Linked DNA regions of Oryzias latipes. The protein of the gene in region 2 interacts with the protein of the main gene of each other region in a pairwise test. Links are inferred from orthologs where the notes say so. Each region holds a gene or a part of one and is shown on either strand. Other genes may lie near its edges.

Region 1 (7,164 bases), on a different chromosome or scaffold from region 2:
ATCGTCTTTAGTCACAAATAACTATATTTTGTCAGAGGCATACTTTTAAAATGGATGTAAATCCTTCAATGGGGACTCAATATTTAAGAGTATTTTTTATTTTGAAAATATACCTAGTATTCCAACAAGAGCAGTTTTTCTCTGATGCACCTCATAATGATTCCACAAAGAAATGTATTTGTCTTTAAAGAATGACCTGACTAAGATGATTCAAGTCCTGTTATACTGGGGGGGAACTACTCATTCCAAAAACCAAAGAGTGACAACTGCAGTGCAGCAGTACCACAGAGGAAAAAAGATAAAAGGGGTTTGAGGCCCTTGAGAAAGGGGGTGAATCAGCAGAGGATGATTGCAGCACGAGTCAGCAGTGATCATCAATGGTATCAGTTCTGTTGGATGGGGTCCTCAAGGAAACCTCCACCCATCATGTTAACACAAATGGGTTATTTAGTTTCAGATTTAACAATGTTGTGTTCAGAACATTTGTCTTATCCATTCACAACCACCAACAATCTTTTGTGACTCATAAACCTTGTGGGCAACTAAATAAACTCTAATAAAAAAATGTAAACAGCTAGAACAGAATATAAAGACCCAGAAAAAATGTGACCAGATTTTACTGATGGCGAGCTACTTTTCTGGCCTCAACAAAGATGTCAAGAAAAAAAAACGGTCATGTGAAAAGTTGGTTTTAAACAAAATAAATTATTTTCCTGATTCTTCTGAACTTGACATTCAACAGTAGTTGTCAGCCCTGATCCACACATAATACTTAGTGTCCACTAGAATCCAGGCTGACGTGACTGATCTTTGTGGAAAACGCGATTAGGCCATGTGTCATCACATCACATTGAGCTCCTCTGTTGCCTCTGCCCCTCTGCCTGACGTCCTATAACTTAAACTTTATAGAGTTCAAAGAAACAAGGGTCTTTTGTCTGAGTCACTCAGTAAGAAACTGCAGTCACCATCATTACTGCTGCCATGTGTTCATCTCCATCATTCGTGTGCAGCTCACCATAGATCCGCAGATCACAAAGTTAAAGCAGAGACACAAACTTTGCTCTTTCTAAATCAGACCCATTTATTACATTTAAAAGGATTTCTATGACATTTTTGAAATGTAGATTTAAAAAGTAACCATTTTAAGCATCATTTCTTTCACACAGAAATGTGTCCCCTCCAACCCCACAAACATCACTTGCCCTCTCCAACCCCCTCATGGGACACAACAGCTGTGGTTTCACCCCCACCCAGAGTCATATGACATGGGCAGGTGGGATAAAAACCTATATGGACATACCCCTACTGCCCCTCTTCCATCTCCCTGAATGTCAGCCACACACTTGTGTTCAGTCTCTACTGTTCAAGGGTGTGACCATGTTGCTCTGCTGGAATGCGCTCCCCGTTTGTAGATCACACTGTATGTCTGATCTCTTAGACAGCAATAAGATTCCACAGACACAATCCCCCTGCTGCTCCAGCTTCTGCTTGTAGCTGCTGTTTATTTCTAAGAGAAGGCCAAAAGATGCACATTATGATTAAAGTGACTTTATTTTCCCCCTTTCCTCTAAGAATTTAACCTTTTTACAATGTGCACATTTGTAGTTGTGTGTCCTAAACCAATGGTTCTAAAATACAGAACATTTACACATGGGGATACCACTATACACACAAACGCATATAAAACATATAGTAATATGTAAAAATAAAAAATAAAAGTACATGAACAGCAGCTATCTAAATATTTATAGAGAAATCCAGTTAAAAACAACATGTGGTACAGCCAGAGACATGTTTTAAAATTTGTTTCAGATGGCAAAACTCATTTTAAAATGTATATTATTCCTTTAATATTACAATTTTCATTTAATTGAAAATTTGCATTGTCGTTTTTGTGCTACTAAAGCTTTTGAGTACTTCTGCAAGGTTCTAAAATATTGCTTTTATGTCTACATAAATGTAAACAAAGCAATCTGGTGCTAGTTTGGGGAAACTTGGCAAGAAAAGCCATTAACAGGGATACATTGCCTATTATAGGCAACAACAAAAAAAGAAATGATAAATTATTTAAGTAGTTTAACCAAGAAAGGGAAACTTATACTCTGATTGTTTGCAAGGTCCCTTGGTAAATTTTTGGGAGCATGTTTATAACTTTAAAAATAAATCTTTTAAAAATCGTTAACTTTCTGAAGTTTTATTGCTGTACAAAGCGAGAAATTAAAAAGAAAAACGTAATCAATTGTTTAAATGTGATTCTGATACATTTACTTGAGGTTTGTTTCTACTCCTTTCACAGAAGGAACTTTTTTTAAGCTTTAGTTTCGGGGGATTGTTTTTACGGACGGACATGTTGTAATGAGGAGGTTTAATCATAGCTAAAACTATGATTTTATGATACTTTAACGTTTAAAATAAAAAAGTGGTATTGTGAAAATAAGTATCTATTATGTAGGGTATTGAACGTTTGAAATCAGATCGAATAGCGGGTGTATAGCCTGCGTTCTGCGGCTGCGTTAACCGTTATTGCTCACGCGCCTCCTCCGCTTGTTATTTTGGACACAAGCCTCGCAGAGTGAGTCAGAGGTCGGTAAAATGAGCAAGTTGCTGGGTTGTTGAAGACAGCGAAAGATTCTTTATTATTATTATTATTATTATTATTATTATTATTATTATTATTATTATAATGTATTCATTATGATTATTATCTGTAGTAAAAAATAACTCACAATATCGCCTCAAGAACCACATTTGTGTTTGTTTTTCGTGTGTTTCTCACTGAGCATCGTCGTGTAAACGGGAGTCCACTTGTGTTTTGTGTCGCACGTGTTCTGGTTAACAGCTGCTTGTGTGTCTTGTTCACCAGAAAATGTTCCCGACGACTCGCCACCTGTCCAGAGTGCTGCAGCTCACTCTGGCGGTCATTAAGCCTGATGCTGTTGCTCATCCGTTGATGATGGAGGTCAGCCTTCAATGTAAATCCAAACATACACACTAAAGGTTGACGCCATATAAAAAAACACAATGTTAAAATAAAGTTTAAAAGGAACACACAGTTTTGAATCTGACATATATTTTGGGTGTGATGTTTATTTTAATTAACAGCCTAATCTTGTGAAAAACTGCATAAAAGAGCAGGAAGTAAATCTTTATTGACCATATATATTCAGGAAATTCAGAGAGAAGTTTCAGCTGATTGCAAAGAAAAGGAAAACGTAGATTTTAAATTGCAACGACATATTTTATTGTAATGTAAATTTCTGTATAAATAAGACAGAATATAAAAAAAATCTAGGAAATCATATTGTATGACTTTTTAAAGAATGTGTCAATTGGTGCAGAAGAAAATAAGTATTTGCCCCTATAAACAAGTAAGAATGCTGCCTCTCATAAACCTCTTACTTCTTCTTTATGTAGCGTTTCTATTTTTCATTCATGTCACCTTTTTAAACTAGTTATCTGTATAAAAGACACCTGTCCACACTCTTTAACAGTGAGAATGCAACCTTTCCATGATGAACAAAGAGCTGTCAAAGGACACCAGGACACGATTATTCACCTGAACAAGACTGGGATGAACCAATATACAAAAAGGAAGCAGCCTGATGAGACAAAATCAACTATTGGAGCAAATATTAGTAGATAGGAGAAACACAGGATCACTGGCGATCTCCCTCCACCTGGAGCTTTGTGCAAGAAGATCTCACCTTTTTATGTACAAATGATCTTGGTAATGATGAAGAAACATCCCAGAAGTATACCAGATCTGGAAGAACACATCATGCTCTGGGTCTGTTCTTTTGCAAAGAGGGTGGATAAACTGATCTGTCTTCAGGAAAAGTTGAATGGGAACATGTATAGTGAGATTTTGGGCAGAAACTATAAGTAAGAGCATTGGGGATGATATGTGGCTGGATCTTTCAGCATAACAAAAATCCCAAACTCATCACCAGGGCAACAAGGGGGTAGCTACGTGACAAGCATTTCAAGGTTCTGGAGTGGTCTAGCCAGTCTGGACCTCAATCCAGTAGAGATTCTGTGGAGGGAGTTGAAAGTCTGTGTTGCCCAGTAACAGCCCAAAAACATCACAGGTCTGAGAAGGTCTGCATAGAGGAATGGACTAAAATAGCAGCTAAAGTGTCTGTAAACCTGTGAAGACCTACAGGAAACCTTTGACCTCTGTCCTTGACAACCAGGATTACATTAGATTGTTGAGGTGAACTTTAATTATTGACCATTTTTGGCTCCATTATACAAATAAATTCTTTAAAAAGTCTTATGCGATTTTTTTTTCTTTTCTTTTTGTCTATTGTGTCTTTCACAGTTAATGTGTACCTCTTTCCTTTTTAAAGGGACCAACTTACAGAACCTGTGTGTCCCAAATACATTTTTGCTTCACTGTAGCTCTTACTGATTGACTCCTATAGATTGTTTGTATCTCAATGAATTCTGTTTGAATGGTTCGAAACCTTTTTTGTTTTTGTTTAAATATCACTAACAAATTGATGTATCTGATTTATCTTTCAGGCTCTTCACCAGAAAATTCTAGATAACGATTTTAAAATTGTCAGATGCAAGGATCTGGTGTGGGAACGGCAGGACTCGGAGAAGTTTTACGCCGAGCATTCAGGTGTGCGCACAGCGTGTGCTTGTGCAGATTTTCTGAAATGAACAAAGGCAGGCTGTTCTTCATCCATGTGACTGAAATTGAGTCAGGAGGCAGAATTGGCCGACACGTCACACCATTTGCACGGCAAAAACAAGTGAATCACCCTACTTTGCTGCTAAGAAGCCAACTTTAAAGGCTGCCGTGCAAAGAGAATGAAAAAACAGAGCATGGATGACCCTGTTTTGCCTTTATTTTCAGGCCGATTCTTCTATCAAAGACTTGTTGAATTTATGTCGAGGTGAGCCTCCATGTCTTTAAAAAAAAAAATGACTGATAGTAATCCTGTGTGCTGCCCCCCTACAAATGTTGAAACCATCAATGTAAAATTCTTCGCAGTGGTCCGATGAGAGCGTATGTTTTAGCCAGAGAAGATGCAATCCGTCACTGGAGGGGACTGATGGGACCGACCAAAGTGTTCAGAGCCAGATACACCGACCCGAATTCTATCAGGGCCCAGTTTGGGCTCACAGATACAAGAAACACAACTCATGGCTCAGGTTAGAGATGTTTAAAGACCAACTTTAATCATTTATTACAATTACCAGAACAAGATGAGAGTGGGACTTTAATGCTTTTACCATCATGAACATAATCCAGTTCTTTCAGGTTATTTTACGCTGTACGTTGGTAATTTATACCGAAATTACCAACATAAGTGGGGTATATATATATATATATTTTAAAGTTTAAAACAAATAAACTTCCAGCCTTTCTTTGCTTTTTGCAAAGTTTTTAATTTACAGAACTTTAACTGCTGTTCTTCAGTTTGACACCTTCAAATATGATTTTTTTTTCCCCTCCATCAGATTCTCCAGAGTCGGCTCAAAGAGAGATAAGCTTCTTCTTCCCAGATTTCCACACGGCAGACTGGATGGAGAAAGAAGAGCCGCTGTTCAGATCAGGAAAGATGACCTATGACCATCAGAACCAGGTCCATGTTTTATCAGCAGCAACACAACCTTAAGATGACTCAGTTTATATGAAGTCATGTTGGACCTTAAAGCTTTATTGGATGAAAAAAAACCACATACACAGATGACAAAATGTAAACTCATTTGTGCAAAACAAGATACAGTAAGCCTGATCAGTCATCGGCACAGACGGTAAAACCGTAACAACATGCTGTGCTTCTTTTCCAAAACAAATATTTACACTTAAAATAAAAAACACAATGATAGCATTACACACCATTTATCAAAAGCAGCAAGAAGTGTTTTTATTCACCCTGTATTTCACAAAATACTATTATTGGCACAAATGAATTATTAGAGATGTTTTTTTTCTGACCAAATGACAGTTTCACTTTTTTGTTCTCATTTATGTCAAAACATACAATAACACACGTCATGATGTGCATTGGCACATGATTCATATTCATGTATGAAATTACCGTCCATGAGACCATAAGGATTTCTGTACAAAAACACATTCATGTCACTGATTTCACAGTTGTGTTGAACCTGGCTCCGTCCTGCCTTCATGTGTTTTGAGTGGCCGCCTGTTTTAGAGTCTCCACAGGTTTCATGATCTCATAGGTTGTGAGAGACTTCTTCACTTTTCCATTTTTATCTACCTGGTGGATGCTCTGCGTCACGGTAATGGTCACCTGTTTAGTCGACATCCGATTATCCTGCCATTTTGTCTGTAAATGGTAAAAAACAAACACAGAGACAATAAAGAAGTTATTTAATATAGTTTGAAGCTTTTATTTTTGAAAGGTTTAACCATTGATTGGTATGCAATGGGTGTGAGAGGCTTACAATCTCCTCTGTGTGGAGAACACTTCTGCGCTGCACTGTGGTTCCTGATGGAGGTGAAGCGGCCTCCGGCTTCGGAGAGGCCAGGATGGATGACGGGCTGCTGGGCGTCACGTTGTTCAGGCTGGCTTCAGACACGGCCGAGCAGACCTTCAGGTACGCCTGAGCCGGAGGAGGGAGGCCGTCTTCAAAAAAGTCTGGAACTGCAATAAAGACAAACAGATTTGTTTTTGAGATTTGACCTTAATAATCTGCAAAAATTTGGTTTCACTTCAAACATCATCATTGAAAGTCTTCTTTTTCCTTAAACACTCACATTGATGAAAATTGTAAACATGTTCTTGTGATATTTTTCTGATGATGGAAGGCATAGATAAAGAAAATAAAGCTTAAAATGGTATGTAATAGGCGATAGGAAGGGCGTGCCCACAACTCTGAAAAATTGCTAATGAACCCTAATGATAATTAAAAGACCACTAGGAACGCTTTTACAATAGATGCAAAGATGATCGGAGGGAAACTTTGAATGTTTAAGGCGTTTGGTTCCCTGTTCCGCACTCGACCGCTGCATCAGAAAGACCTGGATTCCCAGCAGACTGCTCAATGTTCAGATCAAACACACTCTTTACTAATTGAGCTTAATGGATTTCTCTTCTTACTCAAAATAAAAACGTAGCTAAAAAAGCAGGAGTGTAAATAACCGTTTTAAGAAGGCGCAGGTCTTTTATTCTATAAGAATTA
Region 2 (7,319 bases):
ATGAACAGAATGAAGCTTCACAAATGTTCATGTTCTGCAATATTATGAAGATCCAGGAGATAAATATTCCTTTAAAGGTTTTCATTTGTTACTTTGCCTTTAAATCTTTTTTTAAAGTCATCGTTACAATCGTTAATCCTCATCTCAGTTCCATCAAAACCACGTTTTTCTGTGTTTAGATTGATGCTGTTTTTCAAAATAAAATCACGTTTAAGATTTTTACTGATGCCAAAAGGAAAACAGCAAATCTCTAAAGTAAATCCTAAACAAGAGATTTCCAGAGAGCTGCCTAAACTATTTCAGTGAGAAAAACCAAACCTGGAGCTTTGCTGAAACATAAATTATACATTTCTATTCACAAATCTGCTTTCAAGTAACCCTTCTTTCCACCTTTATCCACCTTTGTCATGGTAGGGAGAACACGTCAATGTAAGGGGGGGGTCATATGGACCCCATAGGATAGCACAAGGGTTAAAGAACAGAACTTAAACATCCACTTCTGCAAAAGTCTAGTTTTCTTGTGAATTTTGCTGAAAAATCTAAACATTGTTGCCATTTTAAATGATCACCTTGGTGTAATAAACATTAATGTCTGTTACAGCTTTTATAATTGGATCAGTCTATTTAAATCAAATTATTTTTATCATTATTATTATCTTATAATTGTTTTTACTGAGTAAAATAAACAATAAAAGTGAAATAGATTTTTTTGTTTTAATGATTCATCATCATAAAATATAATATAACTTTTATCAGGTGATTATTCCTAAACATAAATAAATTATCTCTAATAATGTCTTAATGTTGAATCATAAAGAAACAGGAAAGATTAAAGTATTTTATCACAAGAAAACCACAAAGCAGATTGATTTTTTCTGCTTTATCCTATTTTTAAAAAAGTTCTTAAATTAATCTGTTCTTCCTTTATCTGTCTTAAAAACTGAGCTGATAGAAGAAAAGACTGGATTTAAATCAGAGAAATATCTTGTATTTCAGCAGAAAAATGATGCAATAAGTTAAAGCGACGCACCTGTAGACTTCATCTCGGACTATCCGCCTCCCACACTGGCCGAACGCGTTGTTGCCCAAACTGAAAACTAACAAATGACAAACACAAAAGTGAAGTTTTCAGATATAAAACAGGAGAGAAAAAGAAAAACACTTTCATTTGGAGGCGTCTTTCCATACAAATAAACTCAAATGAAATTGGACTTTTCTCAGATAAGTGATGAACGTCTGAATGAACTAAAACATAACATTTAAGGCAACGGAGCAAAAAGAAACAAACATCTTTGTGACACGTCTCTCCCCTGAGTGCCAGACATGAAGCCACAAAGCTCGTTTCAAATCATAAAAGTCCATTTTTATTGGTTTCACTCGTCACAGTGAACATCTGCTGCAGTGGAGTGGCGTTCAGAAGCACACATGAAGGAGGTTTCCGCTCCACCAAAGCACCAGAAGAAAAGACGCCAAAGCTCCTTCTAGCGCCAACGTTTCAACTCGTAGTCCACGAAAGGTTCTAACCAGGAGCAAATGTGTGTTTTGGTAATCCACCTTAAAAATAAATAAATACATAAAATGGAATCTGGACAAAATTATTTTGATTGAAAATAAAGATATATTTTAAAACGGAACATTTTGTTTCAAAACTGTGTCTTTTCTTCTCATTTTAGAGGCATTTGCATCATTTGATGCACGTCGTGTAAAACGCAAACTCAAAGAAATGCTGCGTTTGTGCGGCGACCAACAAATCTTACACCACAATCCAGCAGCAGAAGAATTTTCTGCACACTTTCTGCAGAAAAAAAAAGCATCATCGCACTAAAAGAATGAGCGAAACCGCAAAAGATGAACTGCAACGTGGAAAGGGAACACTGTTCTGTTCTGTTTGACAGACTGTGTGAAAGAAGACAGCATCCCTGATCTGGTTCAGCGGGCTGTTGGCCCCGCCCTGTTCTAGAAAAGCACAAACATCTCGTCTCACCTCCTTCTCTGTCGGTGAGGATCAGGGAGTGGGCGCGGCCGCATGCCACCTGGACCACCCTGGTCTGCAGAGGCTCTTTGAGGGGCAGCGCCACCGGAGACGGTTCCAGAACGTAATGGTAGCTGTGATCTGCGGGGGGACAGCAGCCACGCAAGATTTCAAAGAGACGAGAAGTCTTTGTGCTTTTGGCGAGTCTGCAGAGGTTCCTCTGAAAACGCGGCGTGACAATTACAGCTTTCCAATGGAACCCTTGACAGGAAAAACGTCTTCAGAAACATCATCTTTGAAATAATGAGGCTGTAGATGTCAAAAATGAGATTTTGTGTGTTTAAAAATGTTGAATTCGTTCTGGAACCTTTGAGAAATGAAGCTGCGCCCTCAACAACGCGCGTTCAAGCGGCCACTTCGTACACCACATCATGCCTTTTTAGTAATTTCCCAGAAGTCCCTGCAAAAGAACCAGTGTGCACTAAAGCTCACCAGACTGGCAATTAAAACTGTTTATACCAAACATTAAGTCACATAAACTGACAGTAAAAATGTTTTCCAAGAGTCCCTAAAATGCATATTCACATTTTATTTTCCCACTTGGAAAAGAGAAACCTGCAAAACTGTAAACGTACCGTCCTTATGAATTAAAAATAAACCAACAGCATTCTAATAAATAAGTGATTTTTAGCTCTGTGAGAGAAAACTGGAAAAGATTTAAAGGGTTGAAAAGCGAACGCGCCGGTTTTCATTTCAGCGTGGACACACCGCCGCCGCCTCTGATGGCGCCTCTTTGTTCCGACAGACTCGCAGTGATTAAGGAGAGCTGGTGTGCAGCATCAGAGGAGGTTTTTTTTTGCTTACGACGGCTGCGTTGGGTTCGCTGGAAGCCCAGCTGAGAGTCCTTGTTCAGGCCCATGCCCCACACTTTGGACACGTCTTTGGTGGAGGACGCCAGGAGAGTGAATCCGTAACCACAAGCAGCAGACGAGATCTGCAACAGAGACGGTGACCTTGAACTCCACCTTCAGCCACTTTCCTCAACAATTAGATGCAGAGCATTAGACTCAGTCAGCTGTGACTGATGACAGGAGCCCACTCAGACGCTGGAACCGCCAAAGTGAAGGACGGACAATAAAAGACTTCTCCGTCTACGCCAGAAAACTGCTAAACCACAGACTTAAAATAATACATACAGTGATTTTTATTTAATCCATCTAGTAACTTGAGGTTAATTCTCCACATTTAGATGCACAAGATCAGAAACAATCTCAAAATGTACACTACAACAGAGAAATATGATCAGATTTTACCTATTTTAACTTCATTATGCTCATATACATGAGTAAAAAGCCAAAAACACTATTTTGATCTGGTCTGTGATAGACACCTCGCAGCCAATCAGAGTCAAGTATTTACCCAGACCAGGTATAAGCAGGGTTAAAATTCTCTCATTCGTTTATAAATCTGTGCACGGCTTGGCAGCTTTTTCTATGAGCTGCTGAAGTTTGATGCTCCCTCTTCGGTCAGCTGCTCAGCAAAAACAAAGGAGCATGCGTTCGCCGCCGCCGCAGCAGCTCCATAACTTTGGAAAGAGCTTCCACTTCATGTCTGACAGCCTTTGTAAGTCTTTTCAAAAAAAGAAGAAAAAACAACTTTTTTAACTTGGATTTTACACACAGTAAAATAAATGCTCTCTCTTTTATTTTACTGCATTGTGATTTATTCTATTTTACCGAATAAGAAATGTTGAAAGCGTTTCATTCCATTCTCTATTGATTTTATATTCTTTTTGTGATGATAGTGATGATATTTCTAAATCAACTCAATTGAAGTGACTTCTTGCAAAACCTTTAAAGATGCTCTACCGTTTCTGCCGTCTCCAGACGGTACGGCGTCAGCTGACACTTGCGGGGTTTCTTCCTGCCGCTGTCTGGCACCACAAAGCTGGGGATCCCCAGAGCCCCAGTGAAGCTGAAGCCCCAGACAAACACTCTGTGGGTCGGCCGCTTGTGCTGGCCGACGTACTGAAACACGGGGCCGCTGCTGCTGCTCTCCTGGGCTCCTGAGGAGCTGTGCTGCGTTGCGTAGCCAAACGCCTGGAGGCCGGAGCTCCTGTGCCGGGAGCACAAGCGCACCGTGGAAAGAGCCATCCTGCACAGATACAAGCATTTTATTTTGAAATAAAGTCTCCTTTTATGGCACAAAGACACTAAGAAAAATGTTTTATCAACTGATTCTTTAACATTTCCTGTTTCCTTCAATGACCTCTTGGAAAATATCCAATGTTGAGTTTTCTAAAAACATGAAAACTTACAGATCTATTAAAAATAAGCATTTAAGTTGATGACATGCACTAATTTTAAGCTAAAAGGAGTTATGGATAAATAAATCTCATTCAATGAACTCAAACAGCTCATTTTACATAGTTATTTTAAAAGGTACTGCGACAGTTCATACTGGGATATTTTTTAAGCCAAATTAAAACATATTAAACAATAACCTTGATTTTCCATGTTTTTAATGCAACAATTTTGTTATTTCACTGATGCCGAACTGTAAAGAACATTTGTATTCATTTAAATTAAGCTTTTCAATGTATCATTTACAATCTTCATTAAAATATTCAAATATTTTATAGAAATGGCAGAAAAAATGAGTTCAACCATGTTTCCTTCGTACCTTTACTTTTCATTGAACCTAGCGTCTGTCCCGGTCTGCCGAAAGGAAGCAAATCTCCCCATCGGCTGTTTAAATTCAGATTTAACTTAAATCTTTTCAGTTCAAATCTCACTTGTTAGACGCCTATTTCTATCCAAGAACACGAGAGGTAGAAGAGATGAACTTCCGGGTAAAATGGTCTCGCGGTGGAATACTCTTCCGGTTAAGCAACACCGCCCCCTGCTGCTCTGGAGGAATATAACATCACAGCTATGGGTAAATGTCAGGGAAATAACTTTAGTTTTTGTATGGTGTCAGTTTTGCAACAAAGAAAAATTGTAAATGCAGCTTAAATTTATATATTTATATATATTTATTGAAGTCCGTGGGTTGTGAAATGTTTAATGAGTGGTGATTTAATTTTTATTTCTTTGGACAGTGAATTTTGTTTGAATTATGTTCAGAAGAATAGGGCTATTCTCGCGAGAATTTGAGCCTTTTATGTTGGCCACAGGTGAGCAGTGTTGCCAGATTGGGCGGGTTTCCGCCCAATTGGGCTTCTTTTGGTTATGTTGGGCGGGTAAAATTGGCATTGGGCGGGTCTATAAAATTTGGGCTGCTTTTCAAAATATTTAGCGGTTTTATTGTCATTATTATTATTTTTCTTATTATTTAAAATATTAAGTAAAAGTATACTAATTAATATATAGCCTAAAAAAAGCATTGTGAATATATGAAACATTACAGTAATCCCCCTGTTTAGTCCCCCCCCCCCCCCCCCCCCACCCCCCCCCCCCCGTGAATAACAAAAATCAGCGAATAATTGACGCTGTTTTAAAACTCCCAGAGCCTCTGCAGAGTCAGAACCCTATTCTGCCGTTTGGGTTCATTTCCAAAAGATGGAGATGCTGCAGGGCTTTTATTGGCTTTTATTAACCTTGTCAGAATGGTTACAGCTCGAACAAAAATAGCGCAGCCTGCTTATACACTCAGCCGGAGGAGAACGTTCAGCCAACGCGCACCCAGGTAGGCCCCGCCCCCTCTAATCCACCAGTCACCAGCCCACCGCTGATTGACATACGCTGTGGTCCAGCACCTGGCAGTGGCAGAAAGAGGGGGGCGCCATCAAAAGCCATCTAGAGTACACGATACGAGAAACCTATAACTGGATTTTCTGTACTTATTTTATAAAAAAAATTATTATAACAGACTTATTATATAATAATTTATTATTATTGCGTCATTTTTTATTAGGCTACGGCTATACTTTTACGTTCAACATTAGGTTTTTGCTAGGTTGAGATTTGGGCTGGTTTTTATTGACGTGGGCGGGTTTTACGATGAGTTTGGGCTGGAAACTGTCACTCAGATCTGGCAACACTGCAGGTGAGCACGTCTTTTGCTCACGAGGTTGCGGCAATTAGGAGTTCAAGCTGGGAGAAAGAGCTGCAAAAAAGAATACCTTGGACTAAAAGAGACTCTTTTTTCTTGACAAGCGGAAACGAGGTATTTGTTATGCTTGTTTTTTGTGTTATTTTGTATTGTTTATTTCTCCTCAAACGTGTATAATGTTTTGTTATAGTTTTCACATGAAAGCGAAGGCACGCAATGTCCCACAAGAAGTGTGTGATGACCTGCAGAAGTGCCCGCTAAGCAGAGCCGAGAGCCACGAGGAAGCCGACGCCCATTTCCTTACCGCGTGCAGGCAAGCATATGAAAGGACTGGTGTCCAATGAAGCCAGAAAGTTTTTTTTTTTTTACAAAAAGTAAAGAAATAGTGTTAAAAGGGGATTTAAAGGTTGCAGCTAAGGAAATAAGTTATTTGTCATCTGTTAAAGCGTTTCTACTATATTGTTACATATCAAGAAAATGTTTTTGTGACTTATTTAGAAAAAAAAAGTTCATTTAAAATATTTGAAAGCAAAGTTAAGACTACAGTTCATCAGTATTATTATTGTTACTTTAAGTGTTTTTCCATTACAATTTAGGCTTGAAGTGTTTGTAAATTTCATTTATTTAATTTAGTAACAGATAATATGCCTTTCATGTTTAGATAAACTTACTACATTTGAAAATTTAAACAAGTTAAGACATATTGTCTAAAACATATATTCCTAAACATTTGCACCCTAAAGCACTTGATAAGATGTCACATGCACAAACACACAATCAAGAGGAGCAAGCTGAGGAATCTGCCCAAGTTGAAAATGCTCACCTTACTCCCGAAGAAGAAGCAAAAACACCACGAAGAAGTGAAAGAATTCGAAGCTTGACTGAAAAAGGAAAAGAACTCCAAAAGGAAAAACTGAAAGCAATGGAACGCAAGTACAGAATGACATATGAAAAGTGGAGATATCATGCGAGAATTAGTAAAGAAATGTTATCAGATAAAGTTTCCAAGGAGGAGCTAAAGGAAATAATTGAGGACCTTCAAGCTACCTCTTCTGCTGTACAGGGGATGTACGATGAGCTCCGCCAAGTATGTACGCCCGAGTCAGACCTGCGGCGCAAGGTTGATACCTGTATGTCACTGTCAAGATTTATTATCCAAAAGACTAAAAGACAGCTTCAAGGGTCACCGGCAGATGAAGAGGAGGAACCTTGGCCAGATGTTGGATCAATCTTAAATTCAACAGTTTCATCATCTCAGTCAATGTCTGATCGGTCAAAGTGTGATTCTTTCCAC

Evidence for each region.
Region 1: the proteins of rcc1l (region 2) and nme6 interact in binary tests that used the Homo sapiens proteins (3 or more experiments, as listed by UniProt). The link is inferred for Oryzias latipes from reciprocal best matches to the Homo sapiens genes RCC1L and NME6.

The regions. Positions count from the first base shown.
Region 1 is NC_019882.2:13,732,912-13,740,075, reverse strand, and holds nme6 (nucleoside diphosphate kinase 6), read left to right. Parts: upstream 1-2,327; 5' UTR 2,328-2,572; exon of another isoform or gene 2,573-2,583; intron 2,584-2,863; 5' UTR 2,864-2,866; coding exon 2,867-2,959; intron 2,960-4,524; coding exon 4,525-4,627; intron 4,628-4,864; coding exon 4,865-4,904; intron 4,905-5,002; coding exon 5,003-5,163; intron 5,164-5,472; coding exon 5,473-5,630; 3' UTR 5,631-5,689; downstream 5,690-7,164. Other genes in the region: brain and acute leukemia cytoplasmic protein-like, read right to left, coding at 6,144-6,308, 6,427-6,626. UniProt on the Homo sapiens protein: Major role in the synthesis of nucleoside triphosphates other than ATP. The ATP gamma phosphate is transferred to the NDP beta phosphate via a ping-pong mechanism, using a phosphorylated active-site intermediate. Inhibitor of p53-induced apoptosis.
Region 2 is NC_019872.2:27,471,344-27,478,662, reverse strand, and holds the start of rcc1l (RCC1-like G exchanging factor-like protein), read right to left. Parts: upstream 4,828-7,319; 5' UTR 4,655-4,827; intron 4,127-4,654; 5' UTR 4,126-4,126; coding exon 3,841-4,125; intron 2,967-3,840; coding exon 2,837-2,966; intron 2,114-2,836; coding exon 1,985-2,113; intron 1,098-1,984; coding exon 1,031-1,097; intron 1-1,030. Other genes in the region: stress response protein NST1-like, read left to right, coding at 6,780-7,319. UniProt on the Homo sapiens protein: Guanine nucleotide exchange factor (GEF) for mitochondrial dynamin-related GTPase OPA1. Activates OPA1, by exchanging bound GDP for free GTP, and drives OPA1 and MFN1-dependent mitochondrial fusion. Plays an essential role in mitochondrial ribosome biogenesis.